Coturnix japonica: one gene and its partners. The protein of the gene in region 3 purifies or fractionates together with the protein of the main gene of each other region. This does not show direct contact. Links are inferred from orthologs where the notes say so. Each region holds a gene or a part of one and is shown on either strand. Other genes may lie near its edges.

Evidence for each region.
Region 1: the proteins of KRAS (region 3) and PRDX1 purify together in Homo sapiens (affinity purification with mass spectrometry; 3 studies listed by BioGRID and IntAct, with this or other methods). This does not show direct contact. The link is inferred for Coturnix japonica from reciprocal best matches to the Homo sapiens genes KRAS and PRDX1.
Region 2: the proteins of KRAS (region 3) and RPL15 purify together in Homo sapiens (affinity purification with mass spectrometry; 3 studies listed by BioGRID and IntAct, with this or other methods). This does not show direct contact. The link is inferred for Coturnix japonica from reciprocal best matches to the Homo sapiens genes KRAS and RPL15.

The regions. Positions count from the first base shown.
Region 1 is NC_029523.1:18,752,669-18,757,516, forward strand, and holds the start of PRDX1 (peroxiredoxin-1), read right to left. Parts: upstream 3,618-4,848; 5' UTR 3,486-3,617; intron 1,018-3,485; 5' UTR 1,007-1,017; coding exon 901-1,006; intron 424-900; coding exon 270-423; intron 1-269. UniProt on the Homo sapiens protein: Thiol-specific peroxidase that catalyzes the reduction of hydrogen peroxide and organic hydroperoxides to water and alcohols, respectively.
Region 2 is NC_029517.1:34,137,925-34,142,233, reverse strand, and holds the end of RPL15 (60S ribosomal protein L15), read right to left. Parts: intron 3,577-4,309; coding exon 3,440-3,576; intron 1,496-3,439; coding exon 1,190-1,495; 3' UTR 1,139-1,189; downstream 1-1,138.
Region 3 is NC_029516.1:61,762,039-61,766,853, forward strand, and holds part of KRAS (GTPase KRas), read right to left. Parts: intron 3,070-4,815; coding exon 2,891-3,069; intron 593-2,890; coding exon 433-592; intron 1-432. UniProt on the Homo sapiens protein: Ras proteins bind GDP/GTP and possess intrinsic GTPase activity. Plays an important role in the regulation of cell proliferation.

The DNA of each region.
Region 1 (4,848 bases), on a different chromosome or scaffold from region 3:
AGAAGTGTTAAGAAAGAAGGTCAGTTCATAATGTACAACAGAGGCTCATCCAAAGCGCACTTCAGATGCACAAAGCATGCCAGGAAGTAACAAAGGAACTGCCCGGTACTCCCAATTCTGTTCAGAAGCATCTGGAATGACAGTACTTCCTACAGGACTTTATTTGACACACAAGTAAATTAAGTTTAAGTCTGAATACTCAGAATCCAGTTCCTGTAAGAACTGAGGCCAGGCACAGTAATGTCTAATGTTAAAAGGCTGATTCTTACCAGGCAAGGTGACAGAAGTGAGAATCAACAGAAGCTCCAATTATTTCACAGTTAATTTTCCTGAATTCATCAGCTCTGTCGCTGTATGCGATGATTTCAGTTGGACAAACAAAAGTGAAATCCAGAGGGTAGAAGAAGAACACAACGTATTTCCCTAGAAGAGCAATGTCACCAGTTAATCTCTTACATTAGGTTCTACAGCAGTACCAAGCCTGCAAGGAGTGACACAATAGTTTTCTAGTACTTCAGCAGAAAGAAGCTTCTTTAGTTAGAGGGAATTCTACTTTCCACCAACAAATAAACAAGATCTTGTAGTTTCACCTGTTTTGAAGCTGTTATATCAGACTCAAAATGCCTGAATCTAGGATAAAACTTAGTTGTTCTATTTTAGAGGAATTTCATGCTAATAACCAACAATCATCATAATTAGGACATTCAGTCATGCTGTCAACAGCTTCCCAAACACATTCCAGTTGGCAATGAACAAAATCACTGTAAATTAACTACAGTCAAGTGGTCACTGTTACTTGGAAACCAAACCAAAGGCTTCATTAGATGCTCCCCCTCCCCACCTCCCATCCCCTGCACAAGGGGAGACTGCATTTGCATAATTAGATGTACATAAGCCCACCTCTATAGTCAGAGAGCTTGATATCCTTGAATTGCCCATCTGGCATTACTGCTGTGGCAGTAAACTCAGGGGCTGGTTTTCCAATGAAAGCCTTTCCTGAAGACATCTTGATTTAATCTGGAAAAGAATTAACAGCGCAGTTTAGATAGCTGAATAGTTTGAATACATCTTACTTCCAGGTGCAAAGCATCATATCAGTTTAATTATCAATGGGGCAGTATATCAGCATTTGATCTGGCAGCAAGGCTTAAGAGCAAAACTCATTTTAAGCTTATCACCTGGGTAGTCAGGTATCCAGATGAAACTACTAAGCACATTCTTTAAGGCATGTTAGTTTCCTAAGGACACAGTTATCTTTGACCAGGAACAGCTCATTACAGGCTAGAAGCGAGCCAGCTGCCTAGAGTTTTAGCTGTATCCACACTAAGCCTTTGTTCCAATAGGTGGATGAGCTATTAAGTCTTTCTTCCTAAATTCTGATGATGAGACTCTTGTTCAAATTCACAAAGGAATGTAAGACCTCAAACCTTATTTCCAAGCAGAGTTTGATTAGTCTCTAAGAGACCAACACTCTCCATAACTACTCTTCAGCCTTGCAAACAAAGAAGCCTTGTTTTATTTACAAACAAAAGACTCGTGATTTTGATCTACAGTTCATATTAACAACTACAGGCTCACAAACTCTTAAACCAGTGCAGCCAGGCTGGTTCCCCTGAGCATTTCAGTCTATTGAAAAAGAGTAAGAGTGTGCATGAGGCCAAGAGAAGTTTACTTCTGGCCATCAATCCTAAGTCCAGTCCTTTGCAGACACGTTCTGTACAGCACTTTTGCTCAGTGTGCAGATGCAGCACTTCAGAATCCCAGTTCCCTGCAGAGCACTGCCTTTCAAATACAAAACTTCATGAACCTCATTCCCTCAGCTCAGTCTTTAAGTGATCTCACTGAAGCCATTTTACATGCTGCAAAAGAATTATCTGGCACGGAGACACAAGCCCCTGAGCTGTTAGTATTACTGAGTCTCATATTGCTACAGAAAGCTGAGTTTCAAAGACCTTAAAAACCCTGCTTGCATGGCACAAAGTCCATTCCAGAACAGGGCAGATGCACTTCATTTCTTGCCTCCTTCTCCCTTGCCACAGCTCCAGGAGAATTACCTCACATGTCATAAGAATTTCTATTCAAGTTAAACTGATCAATTTAGAGCTTCTATGAGGAGTTTAACATTTGAAGGCTCCTCTCACATGCAGAGAGGATGGACAGTAACCCCCTCCTTCATTTTGCTTTGCAAAATGCCACCTTACTCAGCACAATTAACTGCCTCGTACAAAGAGTTCCACATTCCCAGCTCATCCGAAGGGTTCACCTTCAAATGCAGCGAACCAGGACAGAATCTTATGAACCAAGGTAGCCAGAACTGCAAGGCATTCATAAGAGGATACTGAAACGGTCTAGAATGATGACATTAATAATCCTTCCGATCACTTCATGGAGCCACAAATGCAGATGCAAGTCTGAAACTGCCATTGCACAGCATTTGTCAGACCCTCAGCCAGAAAGTTCTGTCTTTTAAGCAATACCTGCTTTATCTGCAGTACATGACCCCGTGTTTTACCACGGAATTACATTCTTTCCCTGTACTCAAGCTCAAGGTCATCCCTTTGCTCAGTACTACGCCAGACCTATATTTGTTCCATCAGCGCTTCCCTGGAGCGTAATACCAGGGTCAAATCTAAGCAGTCAGACGGCTCTCTGATACTTCCCCTTTCTGATGAAGGAATTATTGTCCCTTTTCAAACAACCTGCAAGCCTTTAACATCAGGTTATAGGACTCAGTGGTCTCCTACTGCAAGAACTGCAGCAAGTGCAGTGAAGAAAGCAGCTGCAATTTGGCACGGCCTGCTCTGCCGGGCACAGCAGCACACAGCCGCGTGCTCTGCTTGGATTTACAGCCACAGCGCTTCCTAATCCGCCGAGGAGCGGAGCACAGACTGCGTGCGAGGTCCTGCCGTTCTAGAAGCAGAAGCACGGCGCTGCAAGCGAAACGCAGCTGCACCAGCTCAGAGCGCCTGGGCTGCTCGCGGCCTCGCTACAATTACAACAAGCCGTGCCTGCATTCCAACTGGAAATTCATACCTTTAGGACACTCCGACGGGAGCGAGCCTACCCTTCCCCAGCCCTACATCGCTACAGTGAACGGACCGAGCTGCGGTGCGAGGAGGGCGGGGCTGCCCCCAGCCGGGCAGGCACGAACCGCACAGCGGCCCGCAGCCGGACCGCGCCGCACCGCCCGAGGCCCGGCTCAGTCCAGCCCCGCTCCGAGCGGCCCCCGCCGCTCCTCCTCACGGGCAGCCCGTGCCCAGACCCAATCCGCCCCATAACCCTTTCTTTTAAGGGAGGAAAAAGGAAAACAATACACGCCAAACGGCTGCAGAAAGCAGCAATCCCTGCACAGCGCTGCTCGGAGCGGGCTTGGCTCTACACCTCCCCGCGGACAGGGAAAAGAGAAATGGGAGCAAAGCCGTGAGCGAAAGCAACGTGCAGCCCCAACACCCCCCTGCCCCCCAGCGCCCCCCGCCCCCACTCACACAAAGCTCCTGTCCCCGCACTCCAGCAGGAAGCCGCCAAGTGCCGCAGCCCCCGCCGCGCCGCCCCTTTATAGCGGGGCCGATCTCGCGAGGACACGGGCGCGCCGCTCCCGGGCCGTGCCGCCCGTCCCGCCTTCCCGGGCCGCCCGCACAGCCAGCATGACTCGGCACTACGGGCTGCTGCCCCATACCGCCCCATAGCGCCCCATAGCCGCCTTATCTGCCCCGCGCCGTGCGGGGCTGCACAACGGCAGCGCTCAGCGCAAGGATGGCGGCCGGGCGGTGCCGGGGGAATGGCTGATGGAATGGCTGGAGGAGTAGGGCTGGAAGCGGCTCACGGCAGGATGAGTCAGATGGATCGTAGCAAGAAATGGCTTTAATGCCGTAATAGAACCGAGCCGCTGCTATTAGGAGTCAGCAGGGAGGGAGAGGATGGGCTGCGTTTTGAGGAAGGATGAGATCGGCTGGTGGTTGCCATTGAGGTGAATGGGGTTTGTGTGGCTTCAGTCAGGCCTGTTAACAGCAGTGTGTGCTCGGTGCCGTGCAGCCGTGGCTCCAATCTCTGCCTTAACATAGCACAGCCGAGCTCTGTGCACTGAGGTGTCACTGCAGGGCAGGTACACGGGATCACCCTGCACGGCCGGACAGTCCCAATGAACAGCTCCATATCAAGCAGCCTGCCATGGCTCACAGCACCAGCACACAACGCAGCAGCGGCCTCACCATTTGTTGTGCTCATTCCTCACACTTACACACATAAAACCCACTTGTACAGGCACCACGAGGCGCTTTGCCTTGTGTTCGTGCCTTGTCCTGCCCTGCAGCAGGCACGGCTGTAGCACAGCAGAGCTGACCCGTGCCCTGTGTGCAGCCATCACACACACACACCGCTCTGTTCCCGTTGCGATCGCTGCCCGCTGGCGGCCGGAAGCGGAAGCGCAGAGCGGCGGCGTAGCCCGGTGGTTCGGCGGTGCGGGTGAGTGCGGTGCGGTGCCCCGGGCTGGATGCGGGGAGCCGGGCGGGGGCTCGTACCGGCACGGCGGGCACAGCGGGGCCGGGGGCGCTTTGCGGTTGTAGCGATGCACAGACGTGTGGCTGCTGCCGCAGTGCGCTCCTGTGTGTATCGTGCTGGCTGAAGGCTCGTCGCTTTGGGTCGGGGCGAGCTGTGACGGTGGGTGGGTGCATGTATGGCCGTAGTTTGCACGTCCCGTGTTACCGTGCATCCTCCTGGCCGGGCTGCACGCGTTGCTTTGAGTCATTGTGAGCTTTACTCTGTCGTGTCAGTGTGGGAATAGGAGATAGGTGATGTTGAGCCACGTCTCACTTGTACCAGCTGAACCTTCTTAGTTTTTTTTGCATTTAC
Region 2 (4,309 bases), on a different chromosome or scaffold from region 3:
AGTTTTTGTTTGCTTGAGCCAAAGAGAACAGGATGAAAGGATTGCATCTCATCTCAAGAAATCTCATCTTCAGATTATAGCCCTCCTGTTAAGAACTAAATCAAACAGCAAATGAGGAAGTACTTTAATTTCTCAGTTGAAATTATTATTTTTCATTCTTTTCCACACAACCCAGTTTGAAACCCTGGCAAATTACAAGCTCCTCTGGTCTTCTATCAAGCCTGACTCCCATCACTACCCAATGGCAGCCTGAAAGAAAGTGGTCAGGCAGTGGAATGGGCTGCCTGGGGAGGTTCTGGAGTCACCAACCCCACAGGTGTTCAAGGAACATCTGGACGTTGTGTTGAGGGACATGGTTTAGTGAGAACTATTGGTGACGGGTGGATGGTTGGACTGGGTGATGCTGTGGGTCTTTCCCCCAACCTTGGTGATTGTATTTTCATAGAAAATATTCTTTAAACATCATCCCAATGCAATTGTTTCTATCACCTACCCATGCAGAGGCAAACTAAATGCAGCTCCTGCAGAAAAATATTGTTTTTTATACCACAAGTCAGAGCTAAGACACTGTCTCCAATACAAGGTGAGTGTCCTGGAATACTGTGCAAATGAATACCTTTGTTACAGTAAATAGTAAAACACGGCCTCAATGAACAGTGAGCTGCTCCATTTCACTCAGTGCTTTGTTGGTTTAGCCTACGTTTGCAGGCAAACGGGCTCAAGACCTGGTTTCATGCTGAAGACAAAAAAGCAAACCCAAACAGAACTAGTAAGATCTAATCGTCATTAATATTTAATCATCTATAAAAAAGAAACCAGCACTTCTAGTTTACATCTCATTGCACACGATCAAAGCAGGCCTTCAGTTTTAACACAGGACACAGTAACACCCTTCAAGGGACAGTGAAGAAATACACTCAAGCCACCAGAACAGGGATGTGGATCAGGATTTCAACTCACACTGCACCTATCTTTTCAGTCTCACCAAAAGCAAAGCCCATCACAGTCAACGTTTGTGGTCTAGAATCCTCTCAAAAACCACATCACATTTTCAAAACACTTTTCAATATATAAAAACAAAGTGAAATTCTGGAGAATCCCACACTTCTCCACGTAAAGCAGGAAGCAGAAGCACTGGTTCAATTTGACAACCCACATCAGCTTTATTAGACCGTTGTGTTTACAAGAATTAGCGGTAGCGGTGCAGCTGCAGGGTATTACGCCTTCTCCAGGCGGCACGACGTGAGCCACCAATGGTGTGATGGAATTTGTGGCCCTTGCCAAGACCGCGGCTCTTCCTCCCGGCTGACGTCAGCCCACGCATCTCTCTGTGCTTGTGAACGGGCTTGGTGATCCATTGGGTATCGGGGTTGCGCCGGATGGCCTTGTGGAAGGGATCGATCAGGATCACCTCAAAAAACTTGTAAGTGGAATCTTCACCCACCCAGTAGGAGTTCAAGACTCTCAGAGCCCCACAGTGACGGCCAGCACGCTCCTACAGGAGAAAAAGAAATGCCAAATGCTGTACAAGCATGGAAACAGGGGTGCTCTTCATGCAGAACGATATATATAACCAAAACCTTATTTTGTTTTCTAGCATTTTTCATTTGCTCTGAGCTAAACGCTCTCCTGATAAAAACCACACGGTCTCTGGCAACAAAAACACCTGAAAAAGTCACGTTTAAAGAAACGCTGTATTGAAAAAAGGCTGCTGGGATTCTTAAGTGAGACGGGTTTTAAATGAATGCATTTGGTTGGCAAAATAAAGAACTCTTCCACATGCAGAAAAGCCCCGGGAGTAAATGCAGAGTTAAAACTTAAGATCATGAGCCACACTTGGGGCCGTGGAACACTTGTGAAAATTGCAAAAGACCAATCAATCTGAATGTCCAAAATTATAAAGGAAAAAGGCCTGCAGGACAAAAGCCCAAATTGATAAGAAAAAAAGAGGAACAGTTGCTGTATGCAGCCTTCAACACGCTATTCTGATTCTTGGCTGTGGTTGGAAAGAAACAGCCCTTGTTTAGGATGCAAAGCAGGAAATAAGTTGAGTTAGAGAACTCCATCTGCCTCTCCTGTCATGACCTCCTTTTTCACCCTAGGACATTATCATCATCACTATAGATCCATCCAGCCTCTATCCCAAACCTATTACTACAGATGTCCATCAGCTTACAACTTCTCACATATATCATGTATTTTCTTCAAGTTCTTCTAGCGAGTAAGTCCAGTGACACATTTTGAACCAATTTGATGGCGACCAATCCCCATTAGCTAGCTTCTATGTGGGGATGACAGTGACAATCAAGGTTTGGCACTTCTAGAACAGTTTTACCTGAAGAATAGAAGCTTTCTAGGAGAACACAAGCCAGATTCACAACTGTTCGGACTAAAATCAAAGGGCCAACCACCTCTTTCCATGAGCTGTCACCACAACCAAGCAGTCACCAGACATTTGGGAATAGCATATATGAAGAACACACCGTGAGTACTCAAATAGAGCTTTTTTAATTAAAACTCATCACTTTTGTTAATAAATAAAAAGGAAATGAATGCTATAACCACCCTGTATGCAACTTCCTGACACTTGCTTTTTGGTTCTGGGAGAAGCCATCTGCTTAGAGATGTGCGACAACTGGGAATGCTCATTGCCTTTACAATGCCTCTTTCGGGCAGCACTGATCAGTACTGCTCTAAGTTTTGCATTTTGGTTTCTTTCCCTACACAAGATGTACAACTGCGGCGTTAGGAAACTTAAAACTTCTCCTGGATGGAAAGTCTCCACTTTATTTTAGCAGGTAGCAACATAGTTTAACAATCTGAACTCCCAATCTTCAAGCTTATGAGCTACCAGAGGTATTTTTAACCTCAATACACCTCTGTCATGCTGTTTTCAGATAGTATGATACAGCTAAGTACTCTGCTCAGCACTCCTACTATACAAACAGGTGCTACAGTCTTTAAGACAGGAATTTAGCCGTGTTTTGTGAAGGGCTCATTGTCTGAAGCTGGTAACACACACAACATGGTGGGGAACACAAAGGCGGGATTTAGCGGTGACTGCAGCCACACAGTTCAGCATGTTTGAATTCCAATTTCTCATCCCCAGCCTTTTGTTTTTCAGGCCTTTGTCAGTCGTATGTCTTTCATTCTAAGTATTGCAGCATGCTTCTGAAAGAAGCATAACCCCACAAACTTCAACAAACCACCTCAGTGGCTCTTTCCACATCCCATACGTGCAGAGTGTGATAGGTTTCTCTCATCTGTCTCAATGCAGCTTTTCAAGACATTCTGGTGCTCTCCTGCCATCAATATTTGAGATCCTTTACCTAATACGTTACAGAATGGTTCCTGTTTGGTCACTAAGCATTTTCCACTTTTACAGACTAAGTGTGACCCCCACAACCCTAATTTTCTGAGCAATAACCAAAACAATCACCTCTGCTACAGACTGAAGGCTGCGGGCAAACTTCAGCTGGTTGACACCATGATGCACAGGCTTCCCATAGGTTGCACCTTTTGGGACAGGGCGCTTACGACCACCACGGCGAACACGGACACGGTAGATAACATAACCTAGAAGAAATGGCCATATTAGTGTAGCAAGCACACGTTATGCTAAGGCAACCTGCATGATCATGTTGAACTTCCAACCCCAAAAGCTCTGCATGAAATGCTGCAATAAAGCAGTTTATACTTATCTTTATACTTTATACTTATCTCCAGTGAAATGTACAGTTCTTAAGTCATTAGCACAGAACATTTGTGTTACTTCCATTGAAAATGAATAGAGTGATGTACGGTTGTCAGGACTTCTTTAGATCCAAACCAAAGCTTACAGCACCTTTCCATTCTGCATTTCCATATAAACTAATAACACCAATGCCATAACACAACAAAAATCCCCCCCAACCCCTCATCCCCAGAAAGCAATAAAATCACCCCAAAACTGAAGGGCCATGCAGTAAATGCACCATTCAAAAGCACTGAAGCACAAGTTATCCATAAACACTACTGAAATGTGAGGAAATGAAGCAAACCTCACAAGCAGGAACAGAAGCTTATACTCTTTATTTCTACAGTGTAACAGCGAACAAGCAAGGTAACTTGCTTCAAGGATTTGCTTAAGTTACAGATGGATGACCACTTTCCCTCAGCTAGTTTGTTTCTCTAATCAGTAACTGTTTCTTAATGATCAGAGAAACTAAGTACCTGTATCTGCTCAAGCACAGTCAGTTATCAAGTCACTTGTGACAAAGTCTGGCCTGAAGAAGAAAGCCCTTTGCTCCAAACTTAGCCTACTAAAGAC
Region 3 (4,815 bases):
GAAACATGTTCCACTAATGTTAAATCAACACCTGAAAAGACTCTTTCTTTTGTTATTAAGGGAAAGGCTTAGAATAAATAAAGCATTGTCTGCATAATCCTCTTGCAGACGAGAAAAACCAAACATTTCACCTCTAAATGGGGTACTTTTTACAGTAATAAAGCCTAGCATAATAAGAATTCTGCAACTGACAGTGGAGAGTACCAGCAGCCCAGCTCTCATTCGTTCAGTTTGCGCAACAGAAGCAAATCACAAATTAATAAACAATTATCAGTAGTCAGCTGACAGAAAGAAAAGACACCACGTGAATTTCTGCTCTGAAGAAACACATCCATTGGTGTAACCAAGAGATCGGTAATGCTCAGAGTGATTAACTTGATGAAAACTGAGCTGAGAGCTCTACATTTTGATTTGGGAAGTCGTGAGCTTTACCTGTCTTGTCTTTGCTGATGTTTCAATAAAAGGAATTCCGTAACTTCTTGCTAAATCCTGAGCTTGTTTTGTATCTACTGTTCTGGAAGGCAAATCACATTTGTTTCCTACTAGCACCATTGGGACGTCTTCAGAGTCTTTAACTCTTTTTATTTGTTCCCTAAAGAAAAAAAAAAAAAAAGATTTTATTTAACAGATATTGCTAGTTTATACAGTAGATTATGAAACACTAAAACAAATGAAATTATGGCATTTCAGCATCATTCCTTATGTTAACTCAATGCACATTCACTACAAGAAGCTACTAAAAAATAAATACATTGATCAAGTCCTGTCACCACCAAGTTTATTACTTTATTCTGAAAAGGCTGGCATGGTGCACCAAGTGTTTCTATCAGCAGTGCTCAGGAAGCCAAACTGCCACAGCTTCTCATGTCACTACACAATAACTCTCCCCAGGAACAACAGTTAATGTCAGCTCCAGTACAAATCTTACTACTGATCTCCCATACTTTAGGCTTACAATACCCAGTTCATTTGCTGAGATAAAACAGTCAAAAGCCCTCTGCCTGTGCTGTGTTTTTCAGGTTAGGTCAGCATTATAAACTCTGAACCTAGATAAAGGGATTTAAAACTCCAAAAACCGCTGGCCTGGTTCTCTGACAAGAGAAATCTGGTACAGTGTCTTTTCAATGACTAGCTAGAAAATGTTTTCACAATACCATTTAGATGTACTCAAAGAACCTCAAATAACAATCATTTATTTCTTCTTCTCTTATTGTCAATGTTCTCAGTTAGTTATTTAGAAATATTCAGTTTCAGTCTTCAAAGTCACCTGTAGGTATGTGAATGCACAGGAGGAACTCCTGTGTTCAACTCATTGTACAAAGCTAAAACACAGAAGGCCTTCCTGTGCAAGTCTACAAATGCTTCTTTATTAAACTTTAAATGCGAACTTCACACTCCTTTTTGCCTTATGTCAACACCTTATCGTTTCCTTCCTCCTCTACAGACAGAGGAAACTCCTTTCTAACAATCTGGTTAGGCAATGAAGAGAGATGTAGGGTGTTTTACTGAGAGCAATAGATAATTTAAATTTGTCATCTCTACTTGAGAACTCCAAACTACCAGCTTAGCTACTCAAATCAACAACTGCACTACCAAATGAACTGAACTGCAAGCTATGCAATCTAGACAGCTACAGCCCTCACTCTGATTACCTCAAACTGTCGTGCCATCTCACCTTAAGTGAAGAACAGCAACTTCAATTTGTTACTAAATGGGCAACTTCTGTTTAAAAGTAAATGTTGAGTTTGTGGTTACTACTTACAGCAAGTCACACCTATGCTGTACAGCAACATAAACTCAACAGCATGTTAAATACCTGTATGGGAAATCACAGCTTGAACCTCTGATTAATCAGCTGAGGCAAGTGTTGGGTCAGCTGTGGGAGCACAGGTGAGAGTAATGTAGCTGTGCTCCCGGAAGGGGTGGACTTCAACTCCACCTCCTCTGAGACCTCATTTAAGGGCTGACCACCACTGAGGCAGCATCTCTTGGAGATTGCTCCCCAGTTGAGACTGCCTCAGCTTTCTGGTCAAGGCATCGACATTGGTGAGTTTTCCTTTGCTAATAACCTTTGACTATTTACCACCATCTTGGTTAACATCTTTATATTAGCCACCCTTACAATACCTAACTTGGAATAGCTTAACTTATACATTTGGGACCAACCTTAAACTTATGCTGCTAAAAAATCAGTGATCTTCGGTGGGATTTGTCTTCTAACACAACTCCCAAGCAGAATTCAATGGAATATGAAGCTATAACTGGCCTGGTACTGCTAATAAAAGAAGAGACTGCTTCTATTTCCATTTTAGTGTAGCTGACATCAAGCAAGGATGAGTTTCAATTGTTAACAAACTCAATCAGCCATCGTCCTGGATGTGAAATTTCATATGGGTATCCTTGTTATTTTTTTCGTTAAGGCATCAGAGCCCACACGTTACCATTTAAGTACCCACTTATGTATCCAAATACCCTTGCATGGGTATTTTCCTCCTCTTCCCCCAGAGAAGAAAGGCTAACAACATATCGTCTGTGAAATTTAAACTGTGTAAGTTTCCCATCTATAACCCTCAATTTTATTTATGGGATAAGCAGCATTTACCTTCAGATAATTTCTTACTATATAAATAATACCAACTAAGGCAGTCACGCTCATCCATAACAGAAGAGCTTTTAAATACGTTGCCTGCTCCGCTCCAGAATGAAACAACAGATTTTCAATTACCGAAAATTACAGACTTCCAAATGGACAAGTAAATTGCAGCATCGCTAATTTGCAAATTTCCCTTTAAGTGCTATTTCATGAGAGGTCAATTCATTATCCAGTGTAAAAGCAAGCAACCCACGCAGCTAATACAAGAGTTAGTCATTTATCTTTCAGCATACACACCTATAATGGTGAATATCTTCAAAAGATTTTGTATTGTTTATAGCAAATACACACAGAAAGCCTTCTCCTGTTCTCATATATTGGTCCCTCATTGCGCTATATTCTTCTTGACCTGCTGTATCAAGAATATCCAAGAGACAGGTTTCCCCATCAATTACTACTTGCTTTCTGTAGGAATCCTAAAGAAAAGAGAGAGAAAAAACAACGCGGTTAAATATAAACAAAGTTTATAAGCATAGATAGCTCTAAAGATATTAAAGTTGTTTACTGGAAGTTGATCATAACTGAAAACACTGATAATCCAATTTTACAGATAGGCAAATGACAGCGTAAGAACATTGGTAGTCCATATTTATGTTTAGATATTAACCCAGAAATGGAAATACCACTGGAAGGACTTGTTCTGATCTGCATCCTGCATCTTCAGCAAGCAGTACTGCACGCGTATGCACGTGTGCACATACACACTGCACTCTTATTTCTCATCTTGTACAAAGGGACACAAAGTACAAATTGGATCCAGATCAAAAGCCTCTCCCTTTGTTCATATGAGAATTGAAGAAAGCTCTAATCCTGATTTTAAACGATTTAACTATAAGCTTACTCCATTTACAACAAAAGAAAACTAAGTGCAATGTGACCTTCATTCTATGGATGTTAATAAAACCATCATGCCACAGCAATGTGCAAAATAATAGAGAGAGTTCAAAGCAGAACAACTACGTCAAAAATCTACACCTCTGAAAAAGAAGTAAGGCATAAGAAGCCTTCAGAGTTTGAGGCAGAAAAAGCTGTTTTGTATCCCTAAACGGCCGCATATAACGTTTGTTATTAAATTACCAAAACAGTCAATACATTTGAAGTTCAAGTTTTTCATACGAGACACAGCAACACAAAGCACAGAGTCACACAAAAGCCCTGATAGGTTCCGAGAGATGTTGGAACAAATTATTTCAACACCATCAACTCAAAAGTTTTCAGGTCACTGATTCAAGTAGCTGAAGTCTGTACAGAGTCCCAGGCAGCTAAAAGTGATGCCTTTCAGTGCTAGGCCTCTGTAAGCACATAATTATAGCAATAACAGGAGCACGTGAGCGTTATTTTTTCATCCAAACCTCTATTTTCTATAAGCACTCTCTATTATGATAAGTCCATGTCAATAAACTTTAAAAATGTCACTGAGTACCACAAATTATTCTCAGTAAACAATACTCATAGCAAATAAAAGGTATCAAGAGGAAATCACGGCATAACCTTCCAGATCCTTCAGCTAGAGATTAACATAATATTGCTTGTGTTCTTGTTATATAAGCAGGATCTTTTTAATACCCTCCAAAAAACAAAACTAAGCTACTGTGAGAGGAGCTGAAACTGCAATTCTAGCCAGTTTCAAGATGAATTCTGAACGACCTTCCTTCTTTTGCATCGATTTTAAGCACTATGTACTGTGCACTTTATTAATTTGGTGGTTTGGTTTGTTTTTTAACACTGAAGTTTGTTCTTTCTTGTTGCCAATCCTAAAATCAAGCAGGAGACAGCTGTATAGAATCAGGATGTTCAAGTAAACAAGTGCCGGGCTCTCATTTATCTCAAGCCTGGATGATGGTAATTCAACAATATCAGGTAAAACGATACTGATTTCTCACCCTTAAGATACAAGTTCAGCTCCAGTGTGATTCTGGAAGTATTTATGTCACAGAAGTACAAACTGAGTGTTTAAGTGGATAGAGATACAGAAGTTGAGAGAAATACACAAATTCCAATGTAGTTTAAAATAAGGTTAATGTTGCATCTCAGTGCTTAAACGAGACGGAAAAAAGCCTGCCCATCTTTATCCCAAGTCACTCCGACTCAACTGGAGATCTTGTACATCCTACCAACTGTGTCACAGGTCAGCACTGTATTAACAGAACTTCTGCCATTGC